3 linked regions of the Oryctolagus cuniculus genome follow. The protein of the gene in region 3 interacts with the protein of the main gene of each other region in a biochemical or structural test. Links are inferred from orthologs where the notes say so. Each region holds a gene or a part of one and is shown on either strand. Other genes may lie near its edges.

Region 1 (3,500 bases), on a different chromosome or scaffold from region 3:
AACTGTGAGAAAGTGTTTAGAAAAAAATTTTTTTTGTTATTAATCCTAAGAGAGAAAAGTCAAACTTGCTTCTTTTGTAATTATTGCAGTGAGACTAGAATATACTAACTGCAAAATAAATGATTGGAATTAAAATTTAAACAAGAAAGTAGATGGTCAAGGATGTAAATGACCAGAAGCCTGGCTTATGTTTGTGCTCTGGGAAGAGTCTTAAGCTTTTGATTGCAAAGTTAAACTAGTGAGTTAATTCTATGTCACCCAAACATAAAGTCATTTCATGGCCAGTATGAAAACCCTCTTAATTTACTGTGTTATTGGAGTCAAGTGTGAGGCCGCTTCTTCCATCTACGTGATTTGTTATTTTTAAGAAATTTAATTTCACTAGTATAGCTAAAACAAGATCCTTGTACTTAATATTTTAACATAAAATGTGAATGTCATTTCAGAGATTTCTGCATATTTTGGGGCTGGCTCATCCGTGATTTACAATTTTCAAGAAAATTATTCCTTAAGTAAAAACTCCAGCTCCCACGCTGCATCATTTCATGGTGATATGAAGCTGAGCAGAGAAACGATCAAGTTCAGCTTCCGAACAACACGCGCGCCAAGCCTGCTGCTGTACATGAGCTCCTTTTACAGAGAATACCTTTCAGTCATCATTGCCAAAAATGGTGAGTGCTTCTTGGATAAGAGAGAAAAAATTGAATTTGGACACTCAGACTATAATATGTGGATCATTTTTGTGTTTTTGCTTCTCAAACTATAAGCAGAAAAAACAGTGTATCTGTTTTTCTATTCATTATGCTTTTACAGTGCTGTCCCTAAAGCTTAGACTCAAAGGATTATTTCAAATAGGGATGATGCCTTTATCTTTCTCATTTTGATAATTTTATATGTGCTTTGTGAATTTTTAATTTATTCATATAAATATTTATTATACATTATTGTCAGAAGCCACTTACTATCCCCTGTGGATATCAGTACTAGTTTTGTGGTTTTTAAAAAATATGTCTGGTTGTACATAACAAATAGTTCCTTCAAATCAAAGTAAAGAAGTATGAAGAGTATGTTCACAAACCAACAAGTTTGTGAGAAAATGTCCACAAGATGACCAGTTGGTTCCTTTTTTTTTTTTTTTTTGACAGGCAGAGTGGACAGTGAGAGAGAGAGACAGAGAGAAAGGTCTTCCTTTGCCGTTGCTTCACCCTCCAATGGCTGCCGCGGCCAGCGCGCTGCGGCCGGCGCACCGAGCTGATCCGAAGGCAGGAGCCAGGAGCCAGGTGCTTCTCCTGGTCTCCCATGGGGTGCAGGGCCCAAGCACTTGGGCCATCCTCCACTGCACTCCCTGGCCACAGCAGAGAGCTGGCCTGGAAGAGGGGCAACCGGGACAGAATCCGGAGCCCCGACCGGGACTAGAACCCAGTGTGCTGGTGCCACAAGGCGGAGGATTAGCCTATTGGGCCACAGCGCTGGCTCAGTTGGTTCTAAATAGAGGCAATATAATAATCATGGGAAATATTGGTGTATCCACCCGAGAAAATGATAATGGATTAGGAAATGTGTATGCTATAGAAATCTTGTTGCATAAAACCCCTACCTGCTATTATTATCTTCCATATATTTGGATTAAAGATAAAGATTTTACAAATATATTCTCTAGGGGAGAAAACAAGCAAATATAGAGACCCATGAATATGTCTTTTCAGATATATCATATATGGGTTTAGGACACTGACCACCAAAATAAAAATAATACTGTTACGCAAGTATGCTTACTTTCACTGTACATTTTGGGCTCAAAAGTTATCTATAAATTAGGACGTTTTCTTTGTCAATTGGAGGAGGGATCCATGAAAAAAATTTCTTGACATTTCTTCAATCAATTCAGTGATTACAAAAAATATATAGGAATGAAACAGACATTTTGCAATATGATTGTTATTTTTGGTCCCTGTTTATACTCCTGGGGAACTGTGGTCTTCGTACATTTTACTTGTTGAATTTTATGGTTAGTGGTGATTAAAGAAAGAAAAGGAAGGAGGGGGATTGAGGGAGGGAGGACGAGGAGGGTAATTTGGTTATCTTCTTAGAACTGTACCTATGAAATACATGAGAATCTATCCTCTTTATATTAATGAAAATTTTTAAAAATTATACATTTTGCTTAAACCCATTCATTTCACCTTAACTTTATTGCAAGTTTATGATCATGGCCACTTGGAAATAGGTTTCATCTTTGGTAAAACTATATATTTGTTTGTAATAATTACATTAGTCAATGGTATTTAAAGACTGTGAGATGTAATTTGAAAAGATAAGATTATAGGGGCCAGCGCTGTGGCATAGAGGCTTAATGTGCTTCCTACTGCTCTAATATCCCATATGGATACTGGTTTGAGTCCTGGCTGCTCCACTTCTGATCCAGCTCCCTGAGAATATACCTGGGAAAGCAGTATAAGATGCCCCAAATGCTTGGGCTCCTGAACCCCCAAAAGAGACCCGGAGGAAGCTCCTGGTTCCTGGCTTTGGTCTGGCCCAGCTATGGCTGTTGCAGCCATTTTGGGGAGTGTAACAACAGAAGAAGACCGCTGTCTGTCCCTGTTTCACCCTCTCTCTCTCTGGAACTGCCTTTCAAATTAAATAAATAAATATTTTTTTGAAGGACAATGAGAAGGAGTCATTTATGAGAAAGCAGATTTAAAAAAAAGAAGAAAAGATTATAGAAACCGATTGTAATTGCAGTATTCCACAACAGTGAGGTATTTTAGAAATACATATTCTTATTTTTCTTTTTATAAATTAAAGGCTAGTGCTGAGATTTTCACATGTTTAATGTCAGAGTTGGCCTTTGGGGAAGAAAGTCAAAGGTTTGTAGAAACAAGATTATTTATTAACAGTGTTCTTGATCTTGATTTTGAAAATTCTGCAAAATTCCACTGAGAAACTGACTTCTATGAATGATCATTACAGGGTACATCCAAATGAAATATTGCAATTTTTTCTGTAAATGAATACATAATGACAAAAGGATTCTGAACTTTTGTAAGTAGTTCTTAAAATACATTTTTTTTGCAAACATTAATTCTCTTTTTCTTCTACCTTAGGAAGTTTACAGATCAGGTACAAGTTAAATAGATATCAAGAACCTGATGTCATTCATTTTGACTTTAAAAGCATGGCTGATGGGCAACTCCACCACATACAGATTGACAGAGAAGAAGGAGTGGTCTTCGTCGAGGTAAGGCAGTAGCATCAGCAGGAGTAGTGCTGCAGTGAGCGCTCCCCACCATGAAGGATCTGCAGTGCAGAGTTGGTGATGGACAGAACAGACAAAGAGCGTGCAGTGCTTCACCGCAGTGTGTGGTCGACTATTAAAGGCAGTCAGGTTTTTTTCAGCAGTAAGATTCTGTCCAAAATCTTATTAATACCTGACTTGATGTGCTACACTTGCCTCCCTTGTTTTCGTCTTCCTGATAGGGAAATGTCTGGTTTATCAGTGT
Region 2 (3,500 bases), on a different chromosome or scaffold from region 3:
TTTCCTTAACATCAGACAACTCGCTCTGCAGCTAAGCCTTCACTAAAATATCTCATAAAGGGCAAACCAATACTGACTTGGTTTCGGCCAAGCTTTGTCTGCACTTTTTCTAGAGATTATCTTATATTTATGACTTTCTGAGTAAAGGTTCTAACAATATAAACTGGTAGCTTTCTTACTTGCATTTTTATAACTCAAGAAATATGACCTGCGTAGTTTTGCCGCTGTCTTTATTTCCAAATATGTGCTTAACTTCTCTCAAGTATTTCATCAAATTTGGTGGAATGTTACCTTCTCCCTCCCCCTGCAGATACTTGGCACTCTTCCCACTCAGGGCTAACGGTCTCCCTGCGAGGATCCTGCTCCTGCTGTGTATGACCAAAGACCTGTGTTCTCAGGGCCTCCTGGTTTTTTTCAGCCTTCCTTCCTTGAATGTCATGCCTAGGTTCAGAGTATTTAGGTGGTTGTGGACTGATACCTAAGTCTTGTCCCGTTTTTTTCTACTTCTCACACTATCGTTTGGGCTCTTTCTATAGAAAAAGGCCAATATTTTGGAACTTTAGCATCTGAGGAAGAAGGCTTAGAAATACTGTCTTGTGTCTTGCCAGAGATTGAGCATCAGTCAACAGCCTCGGCAAACTCTAGCAAAGAAACACTGTTTTTCCCCTTTTGAGTATCCAGCCAAACACTCTATACACCTGCCTAGGGGTTCAAACAACCTGTCAGGACTTTGAATTTGGGTTTCTTCACAGTTCCTTTTGTGTCCCCTAAAGTCAGCACCCGTCCCAGTGGGTCCACTTCTGTCTCTTCCCAAACCTCATACCTACCAGTCCAGGATTTCTAATAATCTCTGATATACTCTCACAAGGACAGTCTGGATTTTCTTGGGCTTCAATCTGCTGTGGGCAAAAGAGAGAGAAATTATACAAACATTCAAATACCACTTATAAGGAACCTCTACACATGAAGGCAGGACCTCTCCAAGATCCACCAGAGTTATTTCTAAAAGTTTCCAAGAGGTTTCTTACTTAAGCTCTTGCACAAGGGTACCTTCCACTCCCAACTCCTTGATGATGTCTTCTGCCTATAAACCTCTCTCTCAGAATACTATGTCACAGTAGTCTTTAAAACCAAAATGCACGGAACCCCCCACAGGAATGGCACTCTGCGTTTCACTATGTCTATTGACCTTGAAACAACATTACTTAGGCCCAGGACTAAACACAAACAATAAAAACTCACTAAAATGAGATTCCTGTCCCTATCTGCTTATAGACTGTTTCTGCATGGTGGTCAGACATAGCTCAGCCAACCTTGAAAAGGCTATTAAGTTTAAAGATGATAAGGAAAAAAATACAGATCTGAATTTATTCATTGATTCAGCAAATAGAGGAGCACTTCAAAATTTTATGGGAAAAATGGAATTACAATATTAGCATTTTGAGAAAACAACATTGAAATTCATGCATAGTTTTTTCATAACATGTGTTTTCCATGAACTTTCAAAGTGCCTAGTTATTGAGTGCCTTCTGTGAGCCAGTACAATTCAAGGAACTGTAAATACAACAAGAGGAACACAATCTACTCTTAGCCAACAATCATATCTCTAATAGTTTCTCTCAGTGTTGTTAAGCTCATGCCTTCCACAGAAATTTAGTGAGAAGGCATGGCTACCATGAAAGGAGAATCATTTTCTAGTATCTTACTATGACTGTTTCATGTGACCATCACTTACGCCATGAGCAGCATTCAACAAAAATCGGGTCTATACTTCTGCCAGTGAAACACAAATGGATTATGCCATGATACAATGTGCTCAGTGCTGCAGTAGGCTTAACGAGGTCCTGCCTTCTGTTTGATTTCTGTAGGTGTTTCAGTTCCTATCCCTGTGATCGGACTGAGAGATGAAGACAAAGTGTTCGTGAACAACACAACGTGCGTGCTCAACGACCCAAATTTCGTCCTCATTGGGTCCTTCGTAGCTTTCTTCATCCCGCTGACGATCATGGTGATCACGTATTGCCTGACGATCCACGTTCTTCGCCGACAAGCTCTGATGTTACTGCACGGCCACACCGAGGAACCACCCGGAATAAACCTGAATTTCCTCAAGTGCTGCAAGACAAGTGCTGCTGATGAAGAGAACGCGAACCAGGAGCAGAATGCCCGCCGGAAGAAGAAGAGACGTCCCAGGGGCACCATGCAGGCTATCAACAACGAAAGGAAAGCTTCCAAAGTCCTTGGCATTGTTTTCTTTGTGTTTCTGATCATGTGGTGCCCGTTTTTCATTACTAATATTCTGTCAGTTCTCTGTGGGAAGGCCTGTAACCAGAAGCTCATGGAAAAGCTTCTGAATGTGTTTGTTTGGATCGGCTATGTTTGTTCCGGAATTAATCCTCTGGTGTACACTCTCTTCAACAAAATTTACCGAAGGGCTTTCTCCAACTATTTGCGCTGCAATTATAAGGGAGACAAAAAGCCACCTGTTAGACAAATGCCACGAGTTGCCGCCACTGCTTTGTCTGGGAGGGAGCTGAACGTTAACATTTACCGGCACACCAACGAGCCGGTGATGCGGAAAGCCGATGACAACGAGCCCGGTATAGAGATGCATGTTGAGAATTTGGAGCTCCCAGTAGAGCCCTGCAATGTGGTCAGTGAAAGGATCAGTAGTGTGTGAGACAGTGCAGCACAGTCTTTTCCTGCGGTAAAGCTCTCCGGGTAGGAAAAGTCTCTCCTTTACTTTTTCTGTCGGTCCTAACTAATGTAAATACTGCAGTCTGACGAAAAGTGTTTTTATATATAGCTTTGCAACCCTGTGCTTTACGATCATGCGTGCAATAGTGAAATTTAGAGTTCTATATTTACTGTTTGTAATAGATGGAAACTAACTTATTTTGATTCTTTGATGACTAAAATGTTTATTTTTTTCTTTCCTTCTCTCCCTCCCTCCCTCCCTCCCTCCCTCCCTCCCTTGCTGCCTCCTATGCTGCCCTCCTTCCTTCCTTCTTTCCTCTCTTTCCCTCCTTTTGTGCATATGGAAATGTTCACGTTCATCTCAGGTGGCATTTGCAGGAGACCAGAATGATGCACGATCGTGGTTCTACTTCAACCACAGCAAAATTTACAAATTCAATGGATTCTTTTTCCGGGTTAACAGTAAATATACACTTTAAATTCTTGCTCTGCTCATCTACACACATAAACACAGTAAGATAGGTTCTGCCTTCTGATACAGCTATCAGTGAGTGCAAGGCAGAACTTAGCCTCGTTGCTACACACAGGGGCAAAATTTGACATTGTCAGAACGTTCTGTTGGTATTTTACTGCAATGTCTGTCCCCAAACATAGTGGTATTTTAACATAGCAGCTGGTTAACCAGGACTACAGAAGTGGAAGGATGATAAGAGATATAAACACCAAATAGCTTTTCACTTCTTAAGGACAATGTTCAAATTCTGACTATTAGGACAAGCAAACTGGAATTAGTGTTCTCATTC
Region 3 (4,074 bases):
CTAAAAGGCCTTCTGTGGGGGAGGGAAGAGCTCTTGTTTATTAAGGCCACTCCCCATCCCCGGCAGAGGTTCGCTGTGAGGTACAAAGCAAATTGATACGAATTTTAAATTGAAAGGATTTCCAGAAGGCTTCATGCTGTGTGCCCTGCCCCGCTGATATCTCTGCAGGAATGGTGCTTAAATAATATGGAAACACGGTGTGGTAAAAGCTCCGTTTTCCACCGTGTCTGGATAACCAAGGTTCATCGTCATACTAGACGAGAATCCGAGCTTGTGTATGAAGAGGGCTGTGTGGATCATGGGGCTTCATCATCACTGGGAAATGTGTGTCCTGGAGAGGGGGCACAACTGGACCCCGACAAAGCCAATTACAGGGGAGGCTGGCGCCAGAGTGCAAGCCCACCCCCACCGCACCCCACCCCCCGGGACCTGCCTGTCCATCAGCCCATAGCTTCTCATTAACGCACAGCACCTGCCACCCGGTCCCCTGAAAACAGTCCCCTCCTTCCCGAGCTGGGGCGGGTGGCCTCTGTCAGGCTCAGAGACACTGCAAGTTCCGAGCACCCAGAACTGACACGCGAGCGGGAAAACCGGACGTCTCCCGGCATCCTTAACCCAGAGGCTGGCTTTCTGCTCTCCTTGGTCGGACCGGGCAGTTCGCCTCCGGGGCCGCCAGCCGGCCGGCGTGGCTCAGGCGCCAGCCAACGCGCGTCGCCCTCTTGCGGCGGCAGCGCCAGGGCGCAGCGCGTCCGGAGACAGCCGCACCCGCGTTTCGGGGGCCGGGGGAGCGGGAAGCTTGGAGTAACGAGCGAGCGAGTGAGCGAGCACACGCGGCCTGGCCACTTCCTACGCGCAGAGGTTGGCCACAGCCGCTGGTCAGCAAACCGGGGACCCCCTGAGGCTGCCGCGGAGGGGCGTGGAAGTCCCTGGCAGGCCCCTCAGGGACGCAGCCGCACGTCTCCCTCCCTGCCCTCGGCCTGGAGCCCGAGTGAGGGCTGGCGGGGCTCGCCCGAGAGCGCCTTGGGCGCGACGGGCAGCAAGAGGGCGCGGACACCCGGCATGCTCACCCGCGCGGCTGTGGCCGGGGTGCAGCAGCCAGCCGCCCGCCTCGGGCTCGCGCGGCGCGCGCACGCGGGTGGGCGTGGGAGGCAGGGGCGCTACTAGCACGCGGCGAGCGCGCGCGCGGGCGCGCTCCCTCAACAGGCCGGAGCGGCCCGGCCCCGCTGCGCGTCACGAGGGGCGAGCGAGAGAGCGAGCGAACGAGCTGGCGGGCGGGCGGGCGGGAGGGGAGCAGGGGGTGGGGCCGCGGGACCGGAGGGGCCCGAGCGGCAGCTGCGGAGCCCGAGCCGGAGCTGGGCGAGGGCGGCTGTGGTCGCGGCGACGGCGGCGCGGCAGCGGGAGAAGATGGTGGCGCTCGAGGTAGGAGCGGCTGGAGCGGAGCTTTATTCCCAGGCTTGGCACCGACGCTGTCATTAGCGCCGCCTGCTCCCGCGGGCCCGCGGACCCAGCTGTCAGGCAAGGTACCACGGCCGGGGAGGGGTGGCGGAGTGGGGGTGCCCGGCGCGGATGCCGCCCAGACCTAGCCCCGGTGCCCGCCGAAGGGGCAGGAGGAGCTGCATGGAACAATAGTGCCGTTGAGAGGGGACGGCGGGCGACGTCCAGGGGGCAGTGCCTGGAGCCGGCGAGCTCCAGCGAGGCGGGGGAAGGGGGCGTAGTGGGGAGACGCCGGGTGTCCGGCGCGCGCCGAGACCCCGGGGCTTCGGGGTCAGCGCGCGGGCCTGGTGACAGTCGCGACAGGAGTGTGTGTGTGTGTGTGTGAATGTGAGTGAAAGGTTCAGCAGAGGGGATGGGGGTGGCGGACCCAAGGGGTTGGGGGATGACATTTCCAGGAATCCCCGCTAGGATCCCTCCTCTCCTGCGACTCTCCGGGAGCAGGAGCGTGCCTATGGAAGCAGTGGGGCCGGCAGGATGCACTTGGGATGTGAAGTGCGGAGGGAGGCAGAGGGGTAGGCGCAGGTTTGTACAATCCCGTGGAAGCGTGTGGTTGTCTTCTCGCTCCCGGAGCTGCACCCTAAACCCACAGGTCTGCTAGTGCCAGGACTTGGGGCCACCGGCCCAGACTGTGGGGGCAGTGTTTGCTGTTTCGACCCTGCAACTCTGAGTCCTGCGTGCGGATGGCCGCGGGCAGGGGTTCTCACTTCCCCTTTCTCTGGCCCCATGACTTGGGGATGTGGAAGTTGGCATGTCGCGTTGGGGCGCACGCCCGGGAGAATGGTGATCGTGGTTGCACGTTCAGGGCTTGCTGGTGTGCCCAGGTTGGAAGCGAGCTGCCCGCCTGTGACACTGTTCTCCTCAGCCCCTCGACTGCAAGGGTCTTGGACTGTCTCCGCCGTTTCTGTCGTTTATCTCCTGTCTGACCTGAAAGGGGGGAGGGGGCGGTCTTTAATGGTTGCTCTCCCCTTCGCCGCAACTTTGCCAATCAACCAGATCTTCTCCCTCGCGTGGCCAAGCCCTGAAAAGCTTGTGGCTGAAGGATGAGCGGCCTTTGTGTTGGCTCCCTTAGAAGGAACTCTGGAGGTGTGCACAGGGAGAGAGATGGGAGAAGAGTCTTTAAAAAGAAGAGCAAGATCCTGCTGAGAAGTGTTTGGTGCCCTTTTGGCCAGCATCACCCAACCAGGGCGTTTACTGGAGGAAATGGGACACTTTATTTCTTCTGCTGGAGACAGCCACTCTCCAGGCTCTTACAATGGCTAGGTGGTGCCCTGTGTGTCCCTTGGGTACCGAAATATCCCAAGACCCACGGTGATGAGTTCCCTGGTTGGTGAAGTCCCTGCTTTGCTACTGGATAGGGTCCCCCCACCCCCATGGCATTTGGTCAATGTCAGGCTGGGAATAACTCATCCAGCGGGAACCAGGATGCAGAGACGCCTGCAGAGACTGTAGCTGGGTGATAAAGATAGGGTTGTGTAGGGCTGAATGGAGAGAGGGAGAGAGAGGAAGGGAGATGGCATATCCATGTGTGGGTCTGCTGCAGTTTGGCTCTCCGGTGGCCGTATTTCTCCTGCAATGTTCATAGGAGTGAATGCACCTTTACACTGAATACCTTGATTCTTCGTTGTTGAAATGTTGCATGACTAGATTAACCTGCCTAGGACATATTTTAGTCACAGCACCTTAAATTCTGCTGCATTGCTGTCAGAACCCAAACTGGCAGCCCCAGTCCTCTTTGAAAAGCCTATAGCAGTCATGGCTGTAGAACTAAATACATAACGTGTTGACACCAAATGTTTCTTTTCTTTTTTCTCTTTCTAAAATTTTGCTTTGCTTTCTTGGCAAAGATTACACGATATGGTTGTTACCTTGGAAAGAGCAAAATGAAGGCGATCCGTGGATGCTTTTGTCCCTCCCCATTTGTCTTCTCTTAATTAATGATGATGTATAGACCAGGAGCTCTTGAAGCTGTCAATGTAAAGTAAATTTTCCCATGTCCTTCAACTCAAGCTTCTAAAATTTTAATGTGAGGTTGTTGGATCTTATCCAAGATTTAAGGGTAGATTTATAAAGATGAATTTTGAATCCTAGTTCTTTTTTCTCTTATTAGTTCTGCCAAATCTTTCTAACAAAAGTGCTAATGGAATCAAAAAGGCATTCTAAGAGGTTTTGATTTTGGGGGAAAAAAAGCCATCATCTTTATATTTGCAAGTAAAACCAGGATGTAAATGTCTTACGAGAAAGTTTACGAATATTAAGAATTACCCAAGGTAAATGAACTGTTCAGAGAAAGAAGAATTATACAACAGCACAGTTGATGACTCAGGAATTAATGATTTCCTTTCTAATGTAAATGTGGTAATTTCTAAAACGCAGTGCCTGGCCCTTCTGAAGATTGGGCTGGCAAGGTTCATGCTGCAGCTCAAGCCCTGTAATTCAGTCCAGTAAACAGTCGTCTCTTCTGCCCTGGCCCGCAGCAAGTCATTCGTTTTGTGTGGATGCCTTCCCTTCACTTAAAGTAACATTAATGCTTTTCTTTCTCATTTATTGGAGCACTTAAAAGTGTTCTTTTATTTCTCAGAA

The links. The genes of interacting proteins can lie anywhere in the genome.
Region 1: the proteins of APBA1 (region 3) and CNTNAP4 form a complex in vitro, tested with the Homo sapiens proteins (2 studies listed by BioGRID and IntAct, with this or other methods). The link is inferred for Oryctolagus cuniculus from reciprocal best matches to the Homo sapiens genes APBA1 and CNTNAP4.
Region 2: the proteins of APBA1 (region 3) and HTR2C form a complex in vitro, tested with the Homo sapiens proteins (2 studies listed by BioGRID and IntAct, with this or other methods). The link is inferred for Oryctolagus cuniculus from reciprocal best matches to the Homo sapiens genes APBA1 and HTR2C.

The regions. Positions count from the first base shown.
Region 1 is NC_091449.1:58,907,417-58,910,916, forward strand, and holds part of CNTNAP4 (contactin-associated protein-like 4), read left to right. Parts: intron 1-446; coding exon 447-671; intron 672-3,104; coding exon 3,105-3,238; intron 3,239-3,500. UniProt on the Homo sapiens protein: Presynaptic protein involved in both dopaminergic synaptic transmission and GABAergic system, thereby participating in the structural maturation of inhibitory interneuron synapses.
Region 2 is NC_091453.1:78,560,506-78,564,005, reverse strand, and holds part of HTR2C (5-hydroxytryptamine receptor 2C), read left to right. Parts: intron 1-1,868; coding exon 1,869-2,680; 3' UTR 2,681-3,500. UniProt on the Homo sapiens protein: G-protein coupled receptor for 5-hydroxytryptamine (serotonin).
Region 3 is NC_091432.1:160,800,870-160,804,943, forward strand, and holds the start of APBA1 (amyloid-beta A4 precursor protein-binding family A member 1), read left to right. Parts: upstream 1-1,274; 5' UTR 1,275-1,419; exon of another isoform or gene 1,420-1,520; intron 1,521-4,074. UniProt on the Homo sapiens protein: Putative function in synaptic vesicle exocytosis by binding to Munc18-1, an essential component of the synaptic vesicle exocytotic machinery. May modulate processing of the amyloid-beta precursor protein (APP) and hence formation of APP-beta.